Linked DNA regions of Macaca mulatta. The protein of the gene in region 2 purifies or fractionates together with the protein of the main gene of each other region. This does not show direct contact. Links are inferred from orthologs where the notes say so. Each region holds a gene or a part of one and is shown on either strand. Other genes may lie near its edges. The genes, in order: EEF1B2, VARS1 and EEF1A1.

Region 1 (4,289 bases), on a different chromosome or scaffold from region 2:
TCCACGTTCTCCAACATGGATTCATCCATCTACTTTCTGCCTTCCAAGGTACCACCCTATCCCAATCCACCATCACTCCTTGCCTGGAGTATTTCAATATCTTCTTAACAGGTCACCAGGCTTCCACACTATTCCCACACAGCCCCTCCCCTCTTGACACTGGCAGTGACCTCGGACTGAAATGTTCTTCCCTGGCCCCTCCTTATCCTTCAAATCTTGGCTTCGAAGCCTTTTCTCAGTTTCATTGACCAGCCTATCTAACATTTCCTGACGATTCCCCAGAATATCACCCATTTTATTCTTCTTTACGGACTCATTTCTGGCTCGTAGTAAACGTTCAGTAACTGTTAAGTGAACTGAATCTCTAATTTCTGGTCGTTAATTTGTAGGGACCACTTTCCCGGATTTAAAAAGTGCAGGTGCTCTGGCAGCGTTAAGTCGGTGAAAACAAGACTATTCCGCAAAACAAAAATAACCTGTTTATTCATCAAAAAGTTATTGTTACACTTCTATACTGTCAATTCGTGTGTGAAGTTGTGTCTGATCCAAGACCTCACAGTACAAGCATAGATCCCAATAACTTGTAAACAATATTTTGTTATTCGCAATGCAACCCTGAGCTAACTTTTCAAAAAGTCATTTTTCTCAATTTCCCGTTAGTGAAAGGAATTTAAAAATTCTGTCCAACGTGGTCAATGGACAAAACAAATAAGGACAACAGAAGCGTGAGCCACTGCTAACACAACAGCGACCAAACAATCATGTACTGTACCAGGCGTGTAAAAATCTGGGGGAAAAGGCTCAGTCTTAAGGCTTAAGTCATCGGACACTGGTCCTCTACCGGGGAATAAAACGGCCTCCTCTGAGAGGGGAATGTCCTGAATTTTCCCTGCAGAGGGAAGGTCACCTACAAGCCCGCATTCGGGCCAGCGCTCCCGAGGGCCCCCTAATCCTCATCTTCCTTTCTGCTCCATCAGACCAGAGACCGTGGCTAAAAGCCCCACTTGCCGGCTCTCAGAGGCTTCCGAGGCGGCGGGGCGGGAGGCGGCTCCCAGTCAAGGACAAGAGAAGACTAAGTCGCGTGGGCCAAAGGAAACAGTCCCGTCAATAAATAAGCCTCTGACCCATGCACCTCACCCTTCCCATCCATACAAGACCTCACCTTCTCCCCGGAGCCGCGGAGGCTGTTCTGCTAAACTGTCTGGACCACAACTACCCCCTTGGAGGCCGGGTCGCTTACTCAATATGGCGGCCTCAGCTAACTCTGTCAGCCGGGCCTGGAGAACGGAAAGCCCGGAGGGACTAGAATCCTTGCATTCGATAAGTTTGTCGGCAATTTCCGTCAGCCGACCAGAGGGCGGAGCTGAGGTCGGCCCAGCCCGGAGGCGGGAAGGACAACTTGGACCCGCAGTTCCGCCGGAAGTGGCCGGCAGCCTCGAGGCCGAGCGTCTTCGGTCATCTCCGGCGCTTCTAGGGGCGGTTCCCGTCATCTTCGGGAGCCGTGGAGGTATGAACTTAAGACATGCCCATTTTATTAATTTATTTCCAAACGCAACGAAAGATCCAGGGACAATTTGTGAGCCGTTTAATTCAGGGCCCCCAATTCGTACGTGGAGAAGTGGGAATGCTAACGTACTTTGACCTTTAACCTTCGGTCCGGCGTGGTGGAGGGAAACGCCTCCGTCTCTATATAAGGAATTTTCCGGCTTCTCCGGGCCCTTTTTCCTCTCTTAAGCGCGGGGAGCCCACAACTTGTGCGCTCTCTTTCTGCTGTTTCCCAGCTCTCGGATACAGCCGACACCATGGGTTTCGGAGACCTGAAAAGCCCCGCCGGCCTCCAGGTGCTCAACGATTACCTGGCGGACAAGAGCTACATCGAGGGGTGAGCGGACCGGCTGAGTCGGGGTGGTGGAGGGGTTTCTGGGACCGGGGCCGGGGCCACGTGGCGCAGCGTGTCGGCTGCCGCTGGAGGGAGGGAGACGGGGCCCCAGGGCCCTTTCGAGGATGACGGGAAAGCGCCCCGTGGCCATCTCCCAAGGCCCTCGTGTGGTGCGAGCCCGGCCTCCGGGGAGCGGCTCACGAGCAAAGGAAGGTTAAAATGTGCTTTATTTACACTTAATTCAGCCAGGTGTTTCCACATCGCTGCCCAGTTAATACATGTTAGGTTGTAGATAGAGCAACGTTAGAGATTGCAGTATTTGAGGTCTGCAGACATTTCTCAGGATAGCGCGGTGACCCAAACATATGGTTTGATTTTAAGGAGATAATAAGAAAAGAAAAGCATTAAAGCAACCCTACTGGAGTTAGTGCCCACTAATTAATGTGATGCATAGGCACTGATTATTTATTCGCTGGCGTTTGTTTTTCAAAGGTGTGTGTGAATGTCTCTGTGTCATTGGCAGGTATGTGCCATCACAAGCAGATGTGGCAGTATTTGAAGCCGTGTCCGGGCCACCGCCTGCTGACTTGTGTCATGCCCTACGTTGGTATAATCACATCAAGTCCTACGAAAAGGAAAAGGCCAGGTAAAATCATCTTTGTATCTAGCTGAAGAATAAGACTACTCTCGAAGCTTTATCAGGATGTTCACATGACAAAACTAGACCCAGGCTACTTTAGTTTTGTTGGGGTATTGTAAGCTAAATTTTTCTGTAACCTGAGAAGGCCAAGAGACTGAAGCCCTCCATTTTTTCACAGAACAGGTAGAACATGGACAGCAGCAATTCAACTTTTCCCCACACTGCCCTGCCAATGTGCCTCGACCTTGACCTGGGGGGCCCACCTCTGGGGTGAGAGGGTGGCTCATTCATTCAGTCCTTGGCCATTCTTCTGAAACTGCCAACAAGGGTGGAAGTTTGGGGAAGTGGACTCCAGTTCACTAAGAATGGAACTGAGCATACTTAATGAAATCTCAAACAGAAATGTTCATACTGAAAGAGTAAATCATAGTGAGTATTGAAAATAATGTCTCACATGGTACTAATGCTTGTCGGGTGAGGAGTTGAACATATGATAGTGTTTACCTGGGAGCATGTGAAAGGGTAAATTATTATTGCAAAAGGGATCTAGTGATAAGTAGTGATTAAAACAAGTTATTTTGTATTGTCTGGAAAAGTATGTTATACTAGCTCAATAGTGGTTGAATTTAAATGTTTTTCAAGCCTGCCAGGAGTGAAGAAAGCTTTGGGCAAGTATGGTCCTGCTGATGTGGAAGACACTACAGGAAGTGGAGCTACAGATAGTAAAGATGATGATGATATTGATCTCTTTGGATCTGATGATGAGGAGGTATGGCATCTTCTATAAAGAATATATCGGCCAGACACGGTGGCTCACGCCTGTAATCCCAGCATGTTGGGAGGCTGAGGCGGGTGAATCACGAGGTCAGGAGTTCAAGACCAGCCTGACCAAGATGGTGAAACCCTGTCTGTTCTAAAAATTTAAAAAAATGTGGCGGGTGTCTGTAATCCCAGCTACTCAGGAGGCTAAGGCAGAGAATTGCTTGAACCTGGGAGGCGGAGATTGCAGTAAGCCGAGATCATGCCACTGCACTCCAGCCTGGGCGACAGAGCAAGACTCCGTCTCAAAAAAAAAAAAGAATACATCGATCAGCAATTTTATCAATGTGGTTAAGCCAAATTGCCTGGATTTGAATCCTGGCTTTAACTTATATGCCTTTTTCAAATTCTGACTGGTTGCATGATGAATAAAATCAAATCACCATCTTTCGGCTGAGTTCGTGATGGATTTGCTTTTTTCTGATTAAGCCAGTCTTTTTTGTGATGACCCCACTAGCTTTAAGCAGATGACAACCGACTTTCTGAAGTGGATTAATTTTTTTTCTTTACAGGAAAGTGAAGAGGCTAAGAGGCTAAGAGAAGAACGTCTTGCACAATATGAATCAAAGAAAGCCAAAAGTAGGTCATTTGTTTTTAACTTCATTTCATGATAATGTAAGTAATCTTTTTCAAAGCTTGACCTTTAAGTAATTTCCTCCACATTCCTTGAACAGGTCAATATTTTAAAACCTCCTGTAGAAGTTCTTCCACAGCTACTGGTCTGCAGCTGTTCTTATGGTAGCAGTTGTGGCATTCCTCTGTGGGAAAGAAACTGTTAACACAAACACCTCTTTCTTAGCAAAACAGAAAGTGGGCATATGTGTGACAGACACAAGATGTATCTGTAGTTTTGTTTGGCTAAGGAGATAGTCAATCTCAAAACAAATTGAGGTGATTTGTTTGTGTCTTGGAGTAAGGTAAAAAAATACAGTTCATTATTTGAATAATGCT
Region 2 (3,529 bases):
AGGGGCCAGGCCTCTCTCTCATCAGCCAGGTGAGGCAGGGTGAGGAGTTGGAGGATAGGGGCTTCCATGGGGCCTTCCATGCAACTCACTTTCTTTTTTTCATAGAAATGGCAGAATCACTGGGGCAGGGTCCTGCGGGAGAGGAGGGGGAGGGGGGAGGCCAGCATGGGCGAGACCTCGGGCATCTGAAATAGCCCATCTGAAACCTAGTAGTGCCATCCAAGAGGGTCCCCAGCTGGCTGAGTCTGAATTTCTGTGCTTCTCTCTAGGCCCCGAGACTCCTGCCCTCCCAAAGACAGCTGCTCAGCTCAAGAAAGAGGCAAAGAAACGGGAGAAGCTAGAGAAATTCCAACAGAAGCAGAAGATCCAACAGCAGCAGCCACCTGCAGGGGAGGTGAGAGGCGAGGGTGGAGCTGGAAGGAAAGTTGCTGTGTGCAGTGATGGGGTGGCTGATGCCTGGGCCTATGTCTTCTCCCTCCCAAGCAGAAGAAACCAAAACCAGAGAAGAGGGAGAAACGGGATCCTGGGGTCATTACCTATGACCTCCCAACCCCACCCGGGGAAAAGAAAGGTACTAGGAGTGGGAAGGGGCTCACCTCTCAGCAGCCCCTTCCAAGTTTTCACCCTATTTTGCTCTGTTCTTGCTCTCACCACTTTGTTTGGTGAGGATTTGCAGACCCCCTCCCCTGCCCCTAGGCCCCTCAAATGCTTGTCCTACGATGTAAGCGACATTCAGAGAGGGAGATCCTGATCCCTCTCTGCTAGCCCGTCTCCTTCCTGGTGCTCTCAGCCACGCACTGAGCCCTCCCTTCCTCTCCCCCAGATGTCAGTGGCCCCATGCCCGACTCCTACAGCCCTCGGTATGTGGAGGCTGCCTGGTACCCTTGGTGGGAGCAGCAGGGCTTCTTCAAGCCAGAGTATGGGGTGAGTGGGCACTGCTGCCCAGGCCCAGAGTGGGTGGGGTGGGGAAGGGCAGGACTGAAGGACGTGTTGCCTGGGAGGGGCTGGGAGAGGTGACCTGAGGCCTTAAACATGTGCCATCCTTCTCCACCATCAGCGTCCTAATGTGTCAGCAGCAAATCCCCGAGGTGTCTTCATGATGTGCATCCCACCCCCCAACGTGACAGGCTCCCTGCACCTGGGCCATGCGCTCACCAACGCCATCCAGGACTCCCTGACTCGATGGTGAGCTCCTATCCGCACCTCCCTCTGGTTCCCTCTGCCTCATCTGGCTCTCTCCTCTTGGCTGACAGCCCCCCAGCCTCTCTCTTTCTGGGTTGGTGCTTACCTCTGCCCCCAGAGGCGCTACACTTCTCTCTCTCATTCCCATCTGATCATTTAGCTTCCTCTCCTAGTCCAGTACTCCCATGCAACACTGCCACTTGCAGACTCTCTTCTCTCCCTTCTTTCTTTATTTAATTTTAATTTAAGTTAATTTAAATTTTTGTGAAGATGGGTTTTCACTTTGTTGCTCAGTCTGGTCTCCAGGTCAAGTGATTCTCCTGCCTCAGCCTCCCAGGGTGCTGGAATTATAGGTGTGAGGCACCACACCCAGCCTATCCCTTCTTTTTCTAGTAACAATAACATTATTTTGAATTTAATTAAAAAAAAAAAATATATATATATATATATTTTTTTTTTGGAGACAGAGTCTTGTTCTGTTGCCCAGGCTGGAGTGCAGTGACACCATCTTGGCTCATGGCAACCTCCGCCTCCTGGGTTCAAGTGATTCTCCTGCCTCAGCCTCCCAAGTAGCTGGGATTACAGGAATCTGCCACCGCAACTGACCAAAATATATGAATATATTCTTTTTTTTTTTTTTTTTGAGACAGAGTCTCGCTCTGTCGCCCAGGTTGGAGTGCAGTGACCGGATCTCAGCTCACTGCAAGCTCCCCCTCCCGGGTTTACACCATTCTCCTGCCTCAGCCTCCTGAGGAGCTGGGACTACAGGCGCCCGCCACCTCGCCCGGCTAGTTTTTTGTATTTTTTAGTAGAGACGGGGTTTCACCGTGTAGGCCAGGATGGTCTCGATCTCCTGACCTCGTGATCCGCCCGTCTCGGCCTCCCAAAGTGCTGGGGTTACAGGCTTGAGCCACCATGCCCGGCCTATGAATATATTCTTATAAGAAATTTAAATTTTCAAATCCCCTTGACCACCCCCCCACACCTACTTCCTCCCAAGATTTAGCCATTGTTATCACTTTGATGTGTATCTTTCCAGATCTTTCCTATTTACTTACATATACATGTACCCATAGAAATTTATAGTTCTCCTTTTGGGTGAGTCTTTTCTATATTTTAACATAAAGGGTTCACATTACACATGTTATGCGCTAGCTTTCTTCTTACACTTAACACTTTCTCTTGGAGATCTTTCCTTGTCCTTACACACATACCACACATACTGACTTCCTTCTTTTTCATTGTTCCATAATATCCCATAGTGTGGCTATACCATAGTGAAGTCACTCTTTTTTTTTTTTTTTTTTTTGAGACAGAGTTTCGCTTTTTTTGCTCAGGCTGGAGTGCAGTGGCGCAATCTCTGCTCACTGCAACCTCCACCTCCTAGGTTCAAGCGATTCTCTTGCCTCAGCCTCCCAAGTAGCTGGCATTACAGGCACCTGCCACCACACCCGGCTAATTTTTGTATTTTTAGTAGAGATGGGGTTTCACCATGTTGACCAGGCTGGTCTCGAACTCCTGACCTCAGGTGATCTGCCTGCCTCAACCTCCCAAAGTGCTGGGATTACAGGCGTGAGTGAGCTACTGCTCCCAGCCTGGAGTCACTTTTTAATTAATGGTTCTTTCTGGTTTGTTGTTGTTGTTGTTGTTGAAAACCTTACTCTAATGCACATCCCTGTATATCAAGCTTGTCCAACCTGCAGCCTGTGGGCCACTTGTGGCCCAGGAAGGCTTTGAATGCAGCTTAACACAAATTTGTAAACTTTCTTTAAGCATTTAAGATTGTGTGTGTGTGTGTGTGTGTGTGTGTGTGTGTGTGTGTGTGTGTGTGTGTTTTAAGCTCATCAGCTATCGTTAGTGTTAGTGTATTTTTATTTATTTATTTTTATTTTTTATTTTTTTTGAGATGAGTGTCGCTCTGTCGCCCAGGCTGGAGTGCAGTGGCACAATCTGGGCTCACTGCAAGCTCCAAGCTCCGCCTCCCAGGTTAACGCCATTCTCCTGCCTCATCCTCCTGAGTAGCTGGGACTACAGGCGCCCGCCACCACACTCAGCTAATTTTTTTATTTTTATTTTTGCTAGAGACAGGGTTTCCCCATGTTAGCCAGGATGGTCTCGATCTCCTGACCTCGTGATCTACCCGCCTCGGCCTCCCAAAGTTCTGGGATTACAGGCGTGAACCACCGCGCCCGGCCAGTGTTAGTGTATTTTATGTGTGGCCCAAGACAGTTCTTCCGTGTGGCCCAGGGAAGCCAAAAGATTGGATACCCCTGCTGTACATGCTTGCTCAAGCATGTGTGGAAGGGTTTCACTGGTATAGCTATCAAGAAGTGAAACTGCTAGGTCG
Region 3 (3,966 bases), about 38 Mb from region 2:
CATAGCCAGCACTTATTTGGCCTGGATGGTTCAGGATAATCACCTTGGAAAAAAAGATTTGCGTTCAGTGTAAATCCAAAGTCTCAAATGACTTTAGCCTCTGCAATAAGGTAGGAACATGTTACTTTAAAAATTGTTACCTGAGCAGTGAAGCCAGCTGCTTCCATTGGTGGGTCGTTTTTGCTGTCACCAGCAACGTTGCCACGACGAACATCCTTGACAGACACATTCTTGACATTGAAGCCCACATTGTCCCCAGGAAGAGCTTCACTCAAAGCTTCATGGTGCATTTCGACAGATTTTACTTCAGTTGTAACGTTGACTGGAGCAAAGGTGACCACCATACCGGGTTTGAGAACACCAGTCTCCACTCGGCCAACAGGAACAGTACCAATACCTAAAAATATTTACAGCATACTAAATACCTATGAAGGAAGATAGTACTCTACCAACTCAAATTCAACTTTGTTGACACCCAACTTACCACCAATTTTGTAGACATCCTGGAGAGGCAGGCGCAAGGGCTTGTCAGTTGGACGAGTTGGTGGTAGGATGCAGTCCAGAGCCTCAAGCAGCGTGGTTCCACTGGCATTGCCATCCTTACGGGTGACCTTCCATCCCTTGAACCAAGGCATCTGAAACACAACCATGCCAATTTGTGTAAGCATGAAATCGCCATTCCCAGAGCTTTTTAACAACGGTCTTGAAAGCCACTTACGTTAGCACTTGGCTCCAGCATGTTGTCACCATTCCAACCAGAAATTGGCACAAATGCTACTGTGTCGGGGTTGTAGCCAATTTTCTTAATGTAAGTGCTGACTTCCTTAACAATTTCCTCGTATCTCTTCTGGCTGTAGGGTGGCTCAGTGGAATCCATTTTGTTAACACCAACAATTAGTTGTTTCACACCCAGTGTGTAAGCCAGAAGAGCATGCTCTCGGGTCTGCCCATTCTTGGAGATACCAGCTTCAAATTCACCAACACCAGCAGCAACAATCAGGACAGCACAGTCAGCCTTTAAAGAAAGCAAAGACATATCCCTGTCAACTCTCCAAAGGACAAAACCAATGCACAAGACAGGCATTTCAGGGAAAAAAAAAAAAAAAAACAACCTAGAATTATTAATCCCACCAACCTGAGATGTCCCTGTAATCATGTTTTTGATGAAGTCTCTGTGTCCTGGGGCATCAATGATAGTCACATAATACTTGCTGGTCTCAAATTTCCACAAGGAGATATCAATGGTGATACCACGTTCCCGCTCAGCTTTCAGTTTATCCAAGACCCAGGCATACTTGAAGGAGCCCTTTCCCATCTGTAAGGATTAAGAGTTGTTACTTGGTTACTAACACACAAACTCCAGCTTCAATTTCTTTGCCCCCAGCCCTTAATTGGCACATAGTTTCCACTTTACAACTGCAAGTCCTAAGCAATTTTAGTCACTTAGATAGGGTTACAGAAGCAACCAAAAAGCAAACTTTTTAAAGTAGGATCTTGACTATTAATATCCAAATCGAAACTACTCACTAGCAATACGGTTACAGAAGTAACCAAAAGCAAACTATTTTAATAAGTAGGGTCAGATCTAAACCACTCACTAGTTCTGGGGAAATCACTACCACTTAATGATTCTGCTGGTAAAACTCATTTTAGTTCATCTTTCCCATACCTCAGCAGCCTCCTTCTCAAATTTTTCAATGGTTCTTTTGTCGATGCCACCGCATTTGTAGATCAGATGGCCAGTAGTGGTGGACTTGCCCGAATCTACGTGTCCAATGACGACAATGTTGATATGAGTCTTTTCCTTTCCCATTTTGGCTTTTAGGGGTAGTTTTCACGACACCTGAAATGGGAGAAAAAAACTTTGAACCACTGTCTGAAGCTTGAGAATAAGCCAAGATCCAAATTCGAAAAGGGCAAATTCCAAGGAGAATTACATCGAGCGCCAAGCTGGCCTAACTCTTCAGTCTCCACCCACCAAGTGTGGGGAAACTCCACCGCACAAAACCCCTCCCCCAAACCTAAGGAAGACGTACTCCAAAAGCTCGGAGAACTAATCGAGGTGCCTGGACGGCGCCCGGTACTCCGTGGGGTCACATGAAGCGGCGACCGAGGAGGGAAAGGCCCTTTTCCTTTGTGTGGGTGACTCACCCGCCCGCTCTCCCGGGCGCCGCGTCCTCCATTTTGAGCTCCCTGCGGCAGGGCCGGGAAGCGGCCATCTTTCCGCTCACGCAACTGGTGCCGACCGGGCCAGGCTTGCCGACCAGGGCGGGGCGACACACCGCCGCGCGAGGCCCGGCACCAGAGCAGGACGGCCAGCTTGAGACTCCCCCCGTCCGACTCTCGGTGGCCGCGCTCGCAGGCCCCGCCTCGCCGAACATGTGCGCTGGGACGCACGAGCCCCGTCGCAGCCCGCGGCCCCCAAAACCCCAATATCAGTGTGCAGATCCTGGTCCGCATTTATAAGATTATCTCGCCAGGAAAAAGGCGTTGCAGCTGGTCATCAAAAATTTTAAATGGCTAGAAACTTAGTGAAAGCAGCGGGGCAGGCGCGAAGGTGCTACCAGATTCGCACGCGGCAGCCCCAGAGCCCAAGCCAGGCCTCGACTCAAGCACGAGGCGAAGGGACTCCTTAAGTGCAAGGCCTCGACCTCTCCCACCCACTTCCAACCCGAAGCTCGGGATCAAGAATCACGTACAGCGGCCAGGGGCGTGTAAGTAATAAAAGGCACGCGAGGGCCATAGCCCGTAAAGAGGCCAGGCCCGCAGGAGCCACACACAGTACTTACCTGTGTTCTGGCGGCAAACCCGTTGCGAAAAAGAACGTTCACAGCGACTACTGCACTTATATACGGTTCTCCCCCACCCTCGGGAAAAGGGCGGAGCCAGTACACGACATCACTTTCCCAGTTTACCCCGCGCCACCTTCTCTAGGCACCGGTTCAATTGCCGACCCCTCCCCCCAACTTCTCGGGGACTGTGGGCGATGTGCGCTCTGCCCACTGACGGGCACCGGAGCCTCACGCATGCTCTTCTCCACCTTGGTGATGACGAGAGCGGGCGTGTGAGGGGGCGGGAACGCAGCGATCTCTGGGTTCTAGGTTAGTGGGAGTTTAACGACGGTCCCTGGGATTCCCCAAGGCAGGGGCGAGTCCTTTTGTATGAATTACTCTCAGCTCCGGCCGGGGCGGGGGGGGAAGAGGAGGGGGAGGGGGAGGCGACGAGGTGGCGGCCTGGAAGGGACGTCCAGAATCTTTCCTCTACCATTGCTAGCTTAGCCCCAAAGGTTGTGTTGAGATTAGGGTGTACCTTCGCCCCCCAATCAGCCTCCTGTCCTCAGCCTTGCTATCTCGCTAGTCCGTGACAAATCCCTAGAGCGTCGTCTTCTGCCGGTCTCAGCCCAGCCCCGGGTTGGCTCCTCCTCCGCCCCGGCTTCCGCGCCCCTCCCGCGTGGCAAGGAGTACCAGGCCCGGGGACCCCGAGGGGCTTGGGGCGAAGGGTCTGGACTGGAGGACTCCTTAACGGCTCACGGACCTGCGAGAGGTTCGGCTCGATGGCCGTGAGCTCGACGAATCCGCTCCTGTGCTGGCCTCTTGGCTCCTTCCATTCAAAGCCAGCTGCTTTTATCAAAGCCCGTAACACGTCATCTCCCCCTGGTACTCCAGATGTCCAGGCTTTCAGTTTAGAATAGACTCAGTCCTACAGTTAGCTTTAGATCTAATTCTAGTTTTGTTACGCCAAAAAGTTCCTGCGAGTGTGTGTGTGCCTCATGGTACTTTTTAAATTAAAAGGTGTACAGTCATTTGATTGCAAACATAAGGAAGCTAAAAAGCTTTCAAATTCAGATTTTCCACGTGATCTCATGTAGAGACTAAGATCTACAGCATCAGCAAGTTTATCCACCCAGTTTCCTAACCCCAACACTTGCTATGAAGTCACAGCTTCTCCTATTTAAATAAGTGCCTA

The links.
Region 1: the proteins of VARS1 (region 2) and EEF1B2 fractionate together in Homo sapiens (co-fractionation; 3 studies listed by BioGRID, with this or other methods). This does not show direct contact. The link is inferred for Macaca mulatta from reciprocal best matches to the Homo sapiens genes VARS1 and EEF1B2.
Region 3: the proteins of VARS1 (region 2) and EEF1A1 purify together in Homo sapiens (affinity purification with mass spectrometry; 3 studies listed by BioGRID and IntAct, counting the BioPlex papers as one, with this or other methods). This does not show direct contact. The link is inferred for Macaca mulatta from reciprocal best matches to the Homo sapiens genes VARS1 and EEF1A1.

Annotation. Positions count from the first base shown.
Region 1 is NC_133417.1:111,411,945-111,416,233, forward strand, and holds the start of EEF1B2 (elongation factor 1-beta), read left to right. Parts: upstream 1-1,477; 5' UTR 1,478-1,802; coding exon 1,803-1,882; intron 1,883-2,402; coding exon 2,403-2,525; intron 2,526-3,161; coding exon 3,162-3,288; intron 3,289-3,691; exon of another isoform or gene 3,692-3,770; intron 3,771-3,850; coding exon 3,851-3,917; intron 3,918-4,043; exon of another isoform or gene 4,044-4,173; intron 4,174-4,289. UniProt on the Homo sapiens protein: Catalytic subunit of the guanine nucleotide exchange factor (GEF) (eEF1B subcomplex) of the eukaryotic elongation factor 1 complex (eEF1).
Region 2 is NC_133409.1:150,527,229-150,530,757, forward strand, and holds part of VARS1 (valine--tRNA ligase), read left to right. Parts: coding exon 1-29; intron 30-269; coding exon 270-394; intron 395-483; coding exon of another isoform or gene 484-486; coding exon 487-571; intron 572-823; coding exon 824-924; intron 925-1,057; coding exon 1,058-1,185; intron 1,186-3,529. UniProt on the Homo sapiens protein: Catalyzes the attachment of valine to tRNA(Val).
Region 3 is NC_133409.1:112,151,395-112,155,360, reverse strand, and holds the start of EEF1A1 (elongation factor 1-alpha 1), read right to left. Parts: upstream 2,803-3,966; 5' UTR 2,790-2,802; exon of another isoform or gene 2,152-2,789; intron 1,844-2,151; 5' UTR 1,814-1,843; coding exon 1,670-1,813; intron 1,316-1,669; coding exon 1,136-1,315; intron 1,016-1,135; coding exon 719-1,015; intron 636-718; coding exon 485-635; intron 398-484; coding exon 141-397; intron 44-140; coding exon 1-43. UniProt on the Homo sapiens protein: Translation elongation factor that catalyzes the GTP-dependent binding of aminoacyl-tRNA (aa-tRNA) to the A-site of ribosomes during the elongation phase of protein synthesis.